Linked DNA regions of Drosophila melanogaster. The protein of the gene in region 1 interacts with the protein of each later gene in a pairwise test. Each region holds a gene or a part of one and is shown on either strand. Other genes may lie near its edges. The genes, in order: Exo70 and Vps51.

Region 1 (6,703 bases):
GACCCACATCGTCCACAACTGCGATCTTGCTGCGCTTCGAATTGATATCCAGGCAGCGAACCGCTGACACCGCAGTGGTGATGAGCAGTGGTAGTGAGTTGTTGAGAAAGATTCGGAACACTTGGCCGTTCTTCAAGCCCACCATTAGTCCTTCTCTTCCCACGGGGCCACCGGTGACTTTGATGTATCTTATGAACGAGTCCATGATCCACTCGCGCTGCAGGACACCCATGAAATCCAGACATTGGAGACGCTTCTCCTGGCACAGGACAATGTGACGGCCACAAACAACCAGCAAGCTGCAGTCGAACTTTTGCTGGATCTTCTCGCGCACTTTATAGTGCATGGGTTGATCCTCTCCAGAGCTCAGCTCATAGAGAACCACACGTTCCGGCAACTGAACCGCCAGTCGATTCCGATAAATGGCTATTTTCTGAACTAAATCTCGACACTTGATGCGCACCTTTTGGCCAGAGATCAGGTGCTGAATGATCACGTCGCACATGTTTTCCCGGAAGGCATAGCGCTCGCGGTAGAGGGCATGCACGGTACTAGACGCAATGTTGAAGCAGGCCAGGGTTCCATCTTGACACCCAATGGTGTAGGATTGACCATTGGGATGTAGGGCAACTGTCCAGATCCAGGTGTCAAAGGTATCGCCCAACGTACCCAGCCGAATGCCCTCCCTGGTGAAGAAGTGTAGACCTCCAGTGCAGCCGCCCACCAGGCAGAACTCCCCATTGGGAAAGTACTGCAGGCACAAGGGATCAAAGCCCAGGGTTCGCTCCTTGCCAATCATCTGGCCGCTCAGAGTGTGAAAGGATAGCGTTTGGCTCCAGTCCACCACACCGATGGTGTCCACACTGCCAGGACCGCTGGCCGGACAACATTGGACACTGAAGACGTTGCTGTTGGGCCCACCAGGCCGATCGATTCTCCCCTTCTCCTCGCCCAACTTGTTCCTAATGGATATGGTGCCATTGGCCAGGCCCAGGATCAGGTACTGTCCATCATTGGTCCACGAGCAGCCATTGACACGCGCGGATATCTTGTACTTTTGCACCGCCTTCTGATCAGCCGACCAAAAGGCAAAATCCGACAAGGAGCACGAGGCCAGGTGGTGCGAAACAGGATTGAAGCTCATGCACTGTATGGAGTCACCGTGCCTATGAATGTAAATATATTTTTATATTTATATAAAAAACTAGAATTTATTGCAAGTGTGCTGAGAACTCACGAATACTTGAGCAGTCCCTCAAGCTGAGGTGACCACACGATGACCATTTTATCGGAGGCTCCGCTGGCGAACCGCTTGCCATCCCGCGAGTAGGCCACACAATTGACCGTATCCTTGTGCGCCTTCAAGGTGTTCAGCAAGGAGCCATCGTTTGGATCGTAGATGAGCAACCGATCCCCCGCAGCCACCACCAATTGGCTGCCATCGGGTGCGTAGCACACATTGTGGACACTGGAAAATTGGGTTTTGCAAATACCGTTATGGCGTTATAGCAAGCAACAGGTTGTTGTTTTCCACGAATGAGAAAGCTTTACCTGATCTCATTGTCTTTGCTATTGGGAAACTCTATGCGTTCCAGCCACTTGAGAACACCCCTCATTGTTGCAGAAGTCGAATTGGCTAATCCTGCATAGTTGGTAGAAATTCCTAAATGCAGGTGCGTTGTTTACACACAGATTCCATGGCAACCAACCACAACAAAAGTTGGCGTCTTGGCTGGAGATGGCAGTTTGGCGGGTTTTTCCGTTAGTTTTGGCTTTTAAAACTAGGACTTGACTAATAAACTAGTACTAGTAGTAAAAACAATTTATTTAAAACATAGCCTCATTATCGTTTACCTAATTGTCTAAGTGTACAATATTTAAAAAAAGTTTCTATTACTATCTGAAATGACCGTTATAATTTTTTTTTTCGTGCAAAGTAGTTGGCAACGCGGTAATTGACAGTATGACCAAAGCCAGTGTGCATAAATGCCTAGTTTCGTCAAAACAAAATAAAATAGAATTGTTTTTTATATCAGAACTATTGTTTGTTTTTAAAGGATTTTAGCTACATATACGCTTGAAAATGAACAATTTGGACAGTTCATTGCAGGCGCACAATAAATTGGAGAAGGTATGTCTAGTTGTCATGCTCAAAACCTCCATACTTACCCATTTTCCTCATAGGAAGCCACCAATTTAGCTCTGCTGAAAGATCGAGTGGATAAATACCATGATCTGTCCACGCAAATGTCCAGTATTCTAACAATCTTCGAGAAGCGCCTGGGAAACCTGGAGCAGACCATATTGCCCGTCTACCAGGAGACGGAGCAGCTCCAGAAACGGCAGCAGAGTATGAAAATAAACTCAATGGGATTTCAAAAAAAAAAAACTAATGTGTCACCGCCTCTTTTTTTTTTTAGATCTGGAAGCTACTCTCAATTGTCTGGAAAGCGTCCTGTCCCACTACGATGTCTCCCAAGAGGTCTGCCAGTTGATTCATCAAGGCCCGGTGGAGGGAAACATCTCGGTGTTCCTCGACGCACTAGCCAAACTGCGCGATGCCAACGATTACTTCCGGCACAACAATTCCCAGAGCGTGGAGCTGGAGAATGTCACCAGTTTGTTTAACACCGGCTGCGAAGGCCTGAGTCAGCACTATAGTATGCTCCTCAAGAAGCACAGTGCTCCGCTGAAGCCGGTGGAGTTGCTGGATCTTATCTACATAGAGGACGATTCCAGCGATGAATACACCTCATTCCGGCAGCTTTCGCAAACGACGCGCGAGGAGCTGTACACCATATCGCACTGGTTGGAGCAAAATTTAAGGGAGTACACAAACATCTACGCGACGGAACGGGGCGAAGTGGTTCTCCGATCGCTGCAGCTGCTCAAGGATCACCAAAAGAGCAACAGTTGGGGTCACGAGGCTCTGGTGAGTAAACAGTTCTTTCATATTCTAACTAGTATTAATACATATATATTATGTGGAGAAAAATAGTACGTAGTAGAATATGAATAGCGATGTGTACGATGATGAGCATATGTATGCTTTTCCCATCTCTGATCGTTTCGGTTAACGGTGTCTGTTCGAAAAAGCTTGTGCATGTAAGCATTACATGTCCAATTCGATGACCGCCATTTGCCAGCTTGAATTCGCAAAGAACGCATCATTTTCTGTGTCACAGTATCTAAAAAAAATGGAGAATTCTCGCACGCCCACGAACAAGACCAAAATTACGCTTAATCGCACGCCAACGCTAAAGGAGCGCAGATGGAACACCCTGAAGGTGAACACCTCCAACGTGCGATGCTCTACTCCGATCTTTGGCAACTTCCGTTCGCCCAATCTCTCGCCCATCGAGAATATGGGCACGAAGGGGAAGAGTCCAGTGTCGCCCATGCGGTTCGCTACCTTCAAGAAAGTGCCAACGAAGGTGCATCCCAAGCAGCAGCAGCAGCAGCAGCATCAGCACTGCCATCGCACTCAGCTTAAGCCCCCGCCATTCGTGCTGCCCAAGCCGCAGGAGGAGATCATCGAGCCGGAGCGAGAAATAAAGAGCTGCAGCAGCCCGGATACCTGTTCGGATGACTCGAATATGGAGACCTCACTGGCCTTGGAGTCGCGTCGTCGTTCCATCAAAGCATCGAACCACTCGTACGTGGTTAACCATGCCGCCAATGTGGAACAGATTCTCATGCACATGGGCCTGGAGAACTATGTGACCAATTTCGAAGAGGCTCACATCGATCTGGTGGAACTGGCATCCTTGGAGCGTGCTGATCTTGTTAAAATCGGCCTAAATACCGATGAGGATTGCAACCGTATCATGGATGTGCTCCACACTCTTTAAGTGAATCGCTGGCATGTCCATCTTTTATCATACACTAAGATTTTAAAATGTTTTATGTGAAGAGAAACTTTGTGATTTTAATATATGTGGATAATTAAGTAGGTATTCTAGAATTATTGTAAAAGACCTGGTGTCTTAAAGCTCGTCGTTTTTAGCCTTAAATAATAAACTCTAGTACACTTTAAGAATCTATGTAATTCCTAAAATGTTGCTCCGAAGCTCATTTACAAATTTAAATTTATTTCGTAAGCTAGCAAATTGCATAATACTTTTTGTCAAAAAAAAAAAAAAAAATTGGGGTATAAACGCTTTTGTAAAACACACATTTTTAAAATTAATAAACTCATAAGAATCAAATGCATATTAAAAGGTTACAAAAATAAGAGTTTTTAATTTGCTACCATTTTAGTACCTTAATTATTCCGAAGAAACATTAATGCAATGGCAATTAACAATTCAAATTAATGTTTTTAAAATGTTTTCTTGCAGAGACCGCGACACAGTGGACGCCAAACGGAGCCAAAAAAGACAACCTCCGCTCGTCTTCAGCAAATGTGAGAAATATTACTTAATTTCCAAGTTTTCGTATATGATATATTTAATTTATTCTGCATAGATTCGAAAAGAAGGCGAACAAGTTATATTTACGCGCGACGCAGACGATTGAGCAGTCCACAGGGTTCTCCATTAAGAAGGCATCATCGCACAGCGACCACCTGACCTCCGAGGATTTGATGGATGGCGATCAGGAACTGGACAAGTATCTGGTCATGTTGCTGGGACTGCAGCGGTTACTTAACTGGGAGCGAGCCATCATGATCGACATTATTCCCCAGTCGAAACACAACGAGGTATTCGCCACCTTGGCCTATAATGCCATCGATCTGGTGGTTAAGGACGCTGAGGCCATTACGCAACGCATCCTGCGCTGCATTTCCCGCAAGGAGTGGACCTCGGCGTTGGGAATATTCTCCGCCCTAAAGCGGGTTATACTGCTGCAGCCGGATATTGACCGCACATACGATCCTGCGCAAAGGGAACAGTTGAAAAAAGTACTAAAAAAGTTGCAGCACACCGGTGCCAAGGCATTGGAGCATTTCCTGGACGTAGTCAAGGGCGAATCGAGCACCAATATTGTGGGCCAAAGCAATGTTCCAAAGGATGCCACCGTGCACGAGCTGACCTCCAATACGATCTGGTTTATTGAGCACTTGTACGATCATTTCGATGTTATTGGTTCCATTTTGGCACAGGATGTCCTGTACTCCACGCAATTGGACACCATTTTGATGAAGAAGGCGCTGCCAGTCGAGGAACGCAATAAGGCGCTCTTGGCGATTTACATAAGTGAGTGGCAACAAGATCAATTGTGCGAACATTTTTAAACCACTATCTATATTTTGCAGAGAAAGCTTTGGCCGAACTGAATCTTTCCATAATGAACAAGTGCGAGCAGTACAATGACCAGGCCACCAAGCACCTCTTCCGACTAAATAACATTCACTATATCCTCAAGTCGCTGCAACGCTCCAATCTTATTGATTTGGTCACCTTGGCTGAGCCTGAGTGCGAACATAGCTACATGGAGATGATACGTGAACTGAAGGCTAGCTATCAAAAGACCTGGTCCAAGATGCTGGTCGGCATCTATTCCTTGGATGAACTGCCCAAACCAGTGGCCGGCAAGGTCAAGGATAAGGATCGCAGTGTGCTCAAAGAGAGATTTTCTGTAGGTTTTTATTTTTAAAATAAGCTAAACTTTCTTGATTTAAAAAAAAACATCCTCTATAATTTCCAGAACTTCAATAAGGACTTTGAGGAGGCATGCAAAATCCAGCGGGGCATCTCCATACCCGATGTGATCCTGCGAGAAGGCATCAAACGTGATAATGTGGAGCACATACTGCCCATCTACAATAGATTCTACGAAATGTAAGCGTATATAGGGTTTATCAGCTTATACCTAACCATCTTGTATCATTTTTAGTTACTCTGGAGTGCATTTTAGTAAGAATCCCGACAAATACGTCAAGTACAGACAGCACGAGATCAACGCTATGCTGAGCAAGCTCTTTGATGATTCGGCTTAGATGTTAAATGCAGGCCAGGCTTTAAGTGCATTCCTTGTAAGTTCGTTGGGGGGCTTTAATTCAAACTCAATAAATATCGTTTTAAAAAAAGTACAATACAAGACTATAGCCTACAAATATTAAATGCCAAGTGAAATGAAGACGCCACGCATACATACGTCCTAGTAAAGGAAGTTAGTGGATGGTGCTTCGGGGCGGCCACAGGCGCCGTAGTAGTTGACGTTCACCGTCTGGTTCGCCCTGCAGTTTTCGATCTCCAGGAAGCAGTCGTTCAGATACGTTTTATTGTCGCTGCCGCAAACAGGCTCGAATTCCCTGGGACAGATGCGGGCACATCCTTTAAGCTGAAAGGCGGCAAGGCAGCGCTTCAGTGGCACCACGAAAACATGCTTGCCACAATTCTCCTTGCGCATGTGGCACTCGGACTTGTACAAGTTGTTGTCCGATCCGCAGACGAAACTTGGCGGCTGGGCATCACAATCCGATTCGCAGTCGGCGGTTAAAGCGCAATTCTTTAGCGAAACGGGCACCACACGCAGATCGCAAGTGCGCCGCTTGAACTCGCACATGGAGGCGAAGGTGTTGCCATCCGAGCCGCACACTGGCTGCTGTTCCAGATCCGCCCGAGTACAGGCATCCCCGCAATCCTTGGTGGGCGAATTGAGATCCGTGCAGGGACCAATGTGGGCCAGATTCACGCCGCGTCTGAAAAGAAGTTGAAGAGCTAGATCCATGTCCTATGGATGATCCTATCATGGATAC
Region 2 (5,201 bases), on another chromosome or scaffold:
ATAGGAGTGCCATGCTGAGTCACCAGCGATATGTGCATCTCACGGATAGGAAGCACGAATGTAGTGTGTGCAATAAAGCCTTCAAAAAGGCCATCACACTGAGGGAACACATGACCATGCATACGGGCGAGGTGCTTTACAAGTGTCCTCACTGCCCGAAAACATTTAACTCCAATGCGAATCAGCACACGCATCGTAGGAAGTGTCATCCCAAAGAGTTCGAGGAGGCAAGGAAGGCACGCACCGAGAAACGAAAAGCCATCGAGGAGGAGACACCCAGCGTGTTGACCATCTCAACGGGCGAAGATGGGGAATCCCACAGCATTCTGCTGACAAATACCGAGGAGGATATTAAGGGAGATACCATCGAGTTCACTCTGTGTCTCAGTGCCGATACCACAGATTGAAAATGATTTCTGTTACATTTGGTGTACCCGTAACCAGCACAGTTAAAAAATGGCAGAATTGGAATTTGAAAGATTTTTCTAACAAAAAAAAAATGAAGTCAATTTCCTAGACATTTTAAATAACTATCTAAATTAGAAACAGGGTGTTTATTTTTAGATCCTTAAGCTAGCAGCGTTTAACAAAATAGACGGAGATTTTAAGTGGAATGTTGCTTTATGTTGTGGAAACAAATACTAACCCCGTTCACAAATAATTTCCACAGCATTGGGCTCCATTAAAACGGACTCCAAGCACCTTTGCACAGCTGAGCCAAGAATCTCGTCCAGCAGGAAGTTCACCAGACTGCCAAACAAGTGTGTTTAGTTTATCATATCTTTCAGTTTTCGAAACTAACTCACTTTTCATCGCTTACAAATCGCCATAGGTTCATTTGCAGATAATGAGCATCCACCTGAATCTGCTGAAGTCCGAATTTGCTAAAAGTTCTCAGCCTCACGCATTCCAAAAGGGTCTAGAAACATAAATCACGTAAATAGCCACCTTCATTTCATAAACTCACTTACTTTTAGACCAATTTTAATAATTCCCATTATAATTGAGGCCTTGGTGAACTCTACTGAAGTAAAGATTTCCACTCGCTCCGAAAACAAGCGATGTATGTTGGACACATAGCTGGATTCCAGCTGCGAAGGCGTGTAGTTTGACCAATTGGAACGATACTGTGGCTTTGAGGTGGAAGCAAAGTTACTGAAATATGTTTTTCGGCTAGAGTCACTGCTCGCTGTGGTGCGGAATCCTGACGTTGCATTAGTGTTTGCCTCGTACAGACTGGCCACCACCGTCTCGATGCTGCCGAGTTCCTCCACCACACGCTTCATCACCGCACGAACGGATCGTGGTTCCAGGCAGTTAAGCCAATCCCTTGTTTCCACGCTCTTGCGTAACATTTGCGAGATATTGGTGCCCTGCAGCCGCACATAGGCGTCCAATAGTGACTGTGCCGTCTCCCGCATTTCAGCACATATCTCAGTTTCGTGGGTAAGCGTTGCACTGTTCTCCGAGTCGATTTCGTACAGGTCATCAACCAGAGCAATCTGAGGATTTAGTTTGTTAGGGAATCAAAAATAGTTGCAATAGAAAGCTCACCAGTATGTGAACGCCCTGTTGCTCGAGTTCCAGACACGTTTTCGACAGCACCAGCAGTAGATTGGGTGGACTGGAGCTGGAGGCATCTCCGAAACCACACATCACCTTGGCAATATGACGTAGGAAGCCAATGAGTAGGTTCTCCCGAATGCCCTCTACGCACAGGGCGCCCTTGTGTTCCGCCTTGATGTTAAACGACCAGTCGGTGCGCAGGAATATAAGCAAGTCCTGCAGTACACCCTTTATTTTCTCCACCATGGACACATAAAGGTTGCTTATCAGATCACCGAGATTGAGACCAGCAGCTGCATCGCTCTTGGCAGAAACCAGCGACAGACGAACCGCACTCAAACTGTCGGCAAAGTGATCTTTGAGGTTTTTGGCATGGGCATCGCATAGTTGGTGGGCAGCCGAAATAATGATAGATACTGTGTTGCGTTGGACCTCCAAGCCGCGGCAGATATTTCGCATGGCCTGAAGGCGCCGATGAAGTCGATCCAGAGCGCGTAGCATTACCTGGGTATCGCCGTAGCCAATGTCGGACTCAACACGATCCTGGACGAGTGTCAGATACTTTTCGATGTTCTGATTGAGGAAGACATTTAGCTCCTGCAGGGCGTTCTCCTGAAAGTCATCGCTGAAAATGGAATGGATAATAAAACTCAATTAAGATTATACAAAATATTGTTCAATTTACCGCTCATGCTCGTAGTGCTTGGCCACAAACATGTCAAAGTAGGAAGTCACTACCAGTGCCAGATCGTTGAGGAAACCATCGATGCCCATGTCCACAAACTCCAGCATATCACGCTCTGTTTGATCCTGCAGCATGACGATTTGCTCGTGCAGTCGTTTGCCAGCGCAAGTCAGCATTTCGCTTGCCAGATCCGAAGTCTTTTCGTCCAGCTGCAGGAGTAGCTCTCCAATTTCCGTCAAGGATTGGGCCGTGTTCCCAGCCCTTTGAAAGTCACTTCGCAATTGCTCCTTGAGATCTGCCATGATGGCGTCGCAATCTCGCTGGATTCCATCGAAGGACGGCTGTCGACCGTACTGGGCGAACACCTTCTGGGCATGCAGGTAGTCCTGGACAGCTTGTGCGTAGTTCTGTTCCTCGATGAGGGACTTCAGTTTAGCTGGCAGAGTTGAGAGAAACTGCAGCCTTTTGAGGAGCGAGTGTTTCTCGGACAGGCGACATAGTTGCGATCTGGTGCCCTGCAGCGTTCCGGTTATTTGCTCACTAAAAGTCGTTATGGATTGCATCTTGGTCATCAGTAGGTTCACATCCGTTTCCATCTGCTTGAAGTCATCTTTCATCCGGCGAATTGTATCCGTGGCGGAGATGAATTTGTTGTAATTCTCGTAGACCAGCGTCTGCATATCAGAGTGCAATGTCTGTGTGTCCTTGACCACCGCCGCCTCCGTATCCATTATTTGCTTTAAGGAGCAATCCTTTATTTGTGAGTAACAGCCAGAACAAAAAGTGCATAAGTTAATGATTATTACTTCACTATTTTGTTGTTCTTACCTTGAGCAACCTTTCCAGATACTTTTCCGCATCGAAGCTGGAGCTGTCCATGTCGAAGGGATTGGCTTTGGTTTCAGCCATTTTGTAGAACTTTTTTTTACCACTAGTCTAAATAAATAAATAAACTAAATGTTGTGAACTTGTTGTTGCTGAAGATTTATCGTTTTTTTCGTATATCGATAAGTTAAGGTGTGTTGGGCAACGAAAAATGTTTCCCTCATTTAACAGCTGACTACCAATATTGTTATCGATATCCAATACCGCCACACAATCATTTTTTGAACGGTGCGCGTTTAGCAACTTTTTATTTTAAATTAAATAGAAATATTATTATATTATTATTATATTATTAAGTGAATAATAATTTAGACAGTTAAATGTTAATGCAGAATAGTACTGCTATGGCATTATATTGAAAGAATTTTAATTTTTAATATTTTTCTGAGTATTTATAAAGTTAGTGTCTTTATTAAATATATTATTTTATTATCTTTTTTATTGTTTTTTCTTTTTGTTTTTATTTTTAGGCACATAGGTGTGTGATGAATTGGTATTAAATCGTGAGAGACGTGAACTGAGATTATCTTAGTTTGCAAAGCTCTCTGTCATTTTTATTCTAATCGCGGCTTTGTTATTGGGAATCTCCCATTTCAAACTGATAAGAAAATACTTGTTTGTTTTTCATAAATGGCATTAATGTAAAAGGTTTTATTAAAGCAATCACAACATGAAGCTATTACTCTTTGTTTCCGCATTAATTGCAGCTCTGTGCAGCTCATTTGTGACTGCTGGTTAGTAACAACAAAATGTTAGTTAACTAATGTACCTAATTACTTAAACATTTTGTAGATTGCTTAACGGACCCCGTGACAATGCTGTGCATTTTGGACCCAAATCATGGCAAATAACTTTGTATATCACCTGGCTCAATAAAGCACAAAAGTAGAACACGATGTGGGCTTCTGTATCCTAAGTAATTCAACAGTCTCCCCAGACTGAGTTACGTGTGGCAAATCGCATTAAACATTCCACGCCCACCGCCTCCACACTACCAGACATCTTTTTTGTTAAGGTCTTATACCCTGTCGTTGGGTATTTCGAAACTGCGATTAACTATGTAACGCTTATTGAAAGATATATTCTTCTGAATTCTGAATTGCCCTATGTTACAGTTTTAATATCTTTTAAACATCATTAAATCATTTTTTGTAATGGGTATTTTCAGTGTCGTGGCATAAATATGTAGCAGTTGTTTGTACTTCTTGGTGCGTCCTTTTTTATTTCGGTGGGAGTTCGTCTGCCCGCTGGCGACCGTGTCAAGTTGAATGAACATGGACAAGTTTTTGCCACATTCCGAGGGCCTAAAGTTCCCTGTGCTGCTGTATCTCGCATCTGAGTCTCGCTTTTCGGCTGCTGGCCCTGCAGCATTCCCCGTAATTTTCCCACCATTCGCACTATATTTTATCCTGGGCTCCTTTCGCTCTCGTTCCTTTGTGGCGTCTCATTTCAAATACATTAACATTTTGACCTTTCGCAAAAAAGTTCGAGCTGTTGCCGGGGCCGAATTTAATTTCGAGTTGTGTGCAGATTGTGCAAATCACACGCTCTCCAATGCCATCAGCCTCCAAACTTGTATCATGTGCACTGAGAAAAATGTATAGCAATGAGGAGTTTGATGAGGATCCTAATTCGCAACACACTATGCTATTATATGTTTGTAATGAATAACCATTATTCATATTCCAAATCATTTCTATGATTGAAAACTAAAACTTTTAATTGCAATGGTCTTCTTAAAGGTTAGACAAACAAAAAAAGAAAAGACCGACAGTGGGACAGTGTGTCACACACTCGCGCTTGTGTGTGGCATGAACTTTGCTTTCATCAAACTGAAAATTGAATTTACGTAAGCCGAGCGAAATATAACAAAAAAAAAAAGTGAAAAGCTGAAGGACGTGAGGGCGGCGGAAAGCGTCGAACGTGTCAAGGTCAAGTTGCCATTGTCCCAGGTTTTCCACACCTCACTTTCTCCCCCACCCCACTCCTGCTCCCCTTCTCACTTCTGCGTGCGGCACAGAGAAAGCTGTGCACACCACCCACGTTCGGCCCACTAATATGTTTT

What was found.
Region 2: the proteins of Exo70 (region 1) and Vps51 interact in a two-hybrid assay, tested with the Drosophila melanogaster proteins (2 studies listed by BioGRID).

Annotation. Positions count from the first base shown.
Region 1 is NT_037436.4:8,409,878-8,416,580, forward strand, and holds Exo70 (exocyst 70), read left to right. Parts: upstream 1-1,973; 5' UTR 1,974-2,083; coding exon 2,084-2,131; intron 2,132-2,169; exon of another isoform or gene 2,170-2,184; coding exon 2,185-2,350; exon of another isoform or gene 2,351-2,420; coding exon 2,421-2,932; exon of another isoform or gene 2,933-2,948; intron 2,949-3,134; exon of another isoform or gene 3,135-3,197; coding exon of another isoform or gene 3,198-3,851; exon of another isoform or gene 3,852-4,226; intron 4,227-4,340; coding exon 4,341-4,405; intron 4,406-4,467; coding exon 4,468-5,198; intron 5,199-5,257; coding exon 5,258-5,580; intron 5,581-5,649; coding exon 5,650-5,783; intron 5,784-5,838; coding exon 5,839-5,941; 3' UTR 5,942-6,033; downstream 6,034-6,703. Other genes in the region: Oseg1 (outer segment 1), read right to left, coding at 1-1,166, 1,238-1,468, 1,552-1,616; mtrm (matrimony), read left to right, coding at 3,198-3,851; CG32354 (uncharacterized protein), read right to left, coding at 6,103-6,646. UniProt on the Drosophila melanogaster protein: Required for exocytosis. Thought to function in intracellular vesicle targeting and docking before SNARE complex formation.
Region 2 is NT_033778.4:18,707,616-18,712,816, forward strand, and holds Vps51 (vacuolar protein sorting 51), read right to left. Parts: upstream 3,251-5,201; 5' UTR 3,161-3,250; coding exon 3,080-3,160; intron 3,004-3,079; coding exon 2,252-3,003; intron 2,192-2,251; coding exon 1,555-2,191; intron 1,503-1,554; coding exon 972-1,502; intron 920-971; coding exon 807-919; intron 751-806; coding exon 642-750; 3' UTR 537-641; downstream 1-536. Other genes in the region: CG15073 (uncharacterized protein), read left to right, coding at 1-407. UniProt on the Drosophila melanogaster protein: May act as a component of the GARP complex that is involved in retrograde transport from early and late endosomes to the trans-Golgi network (TGN).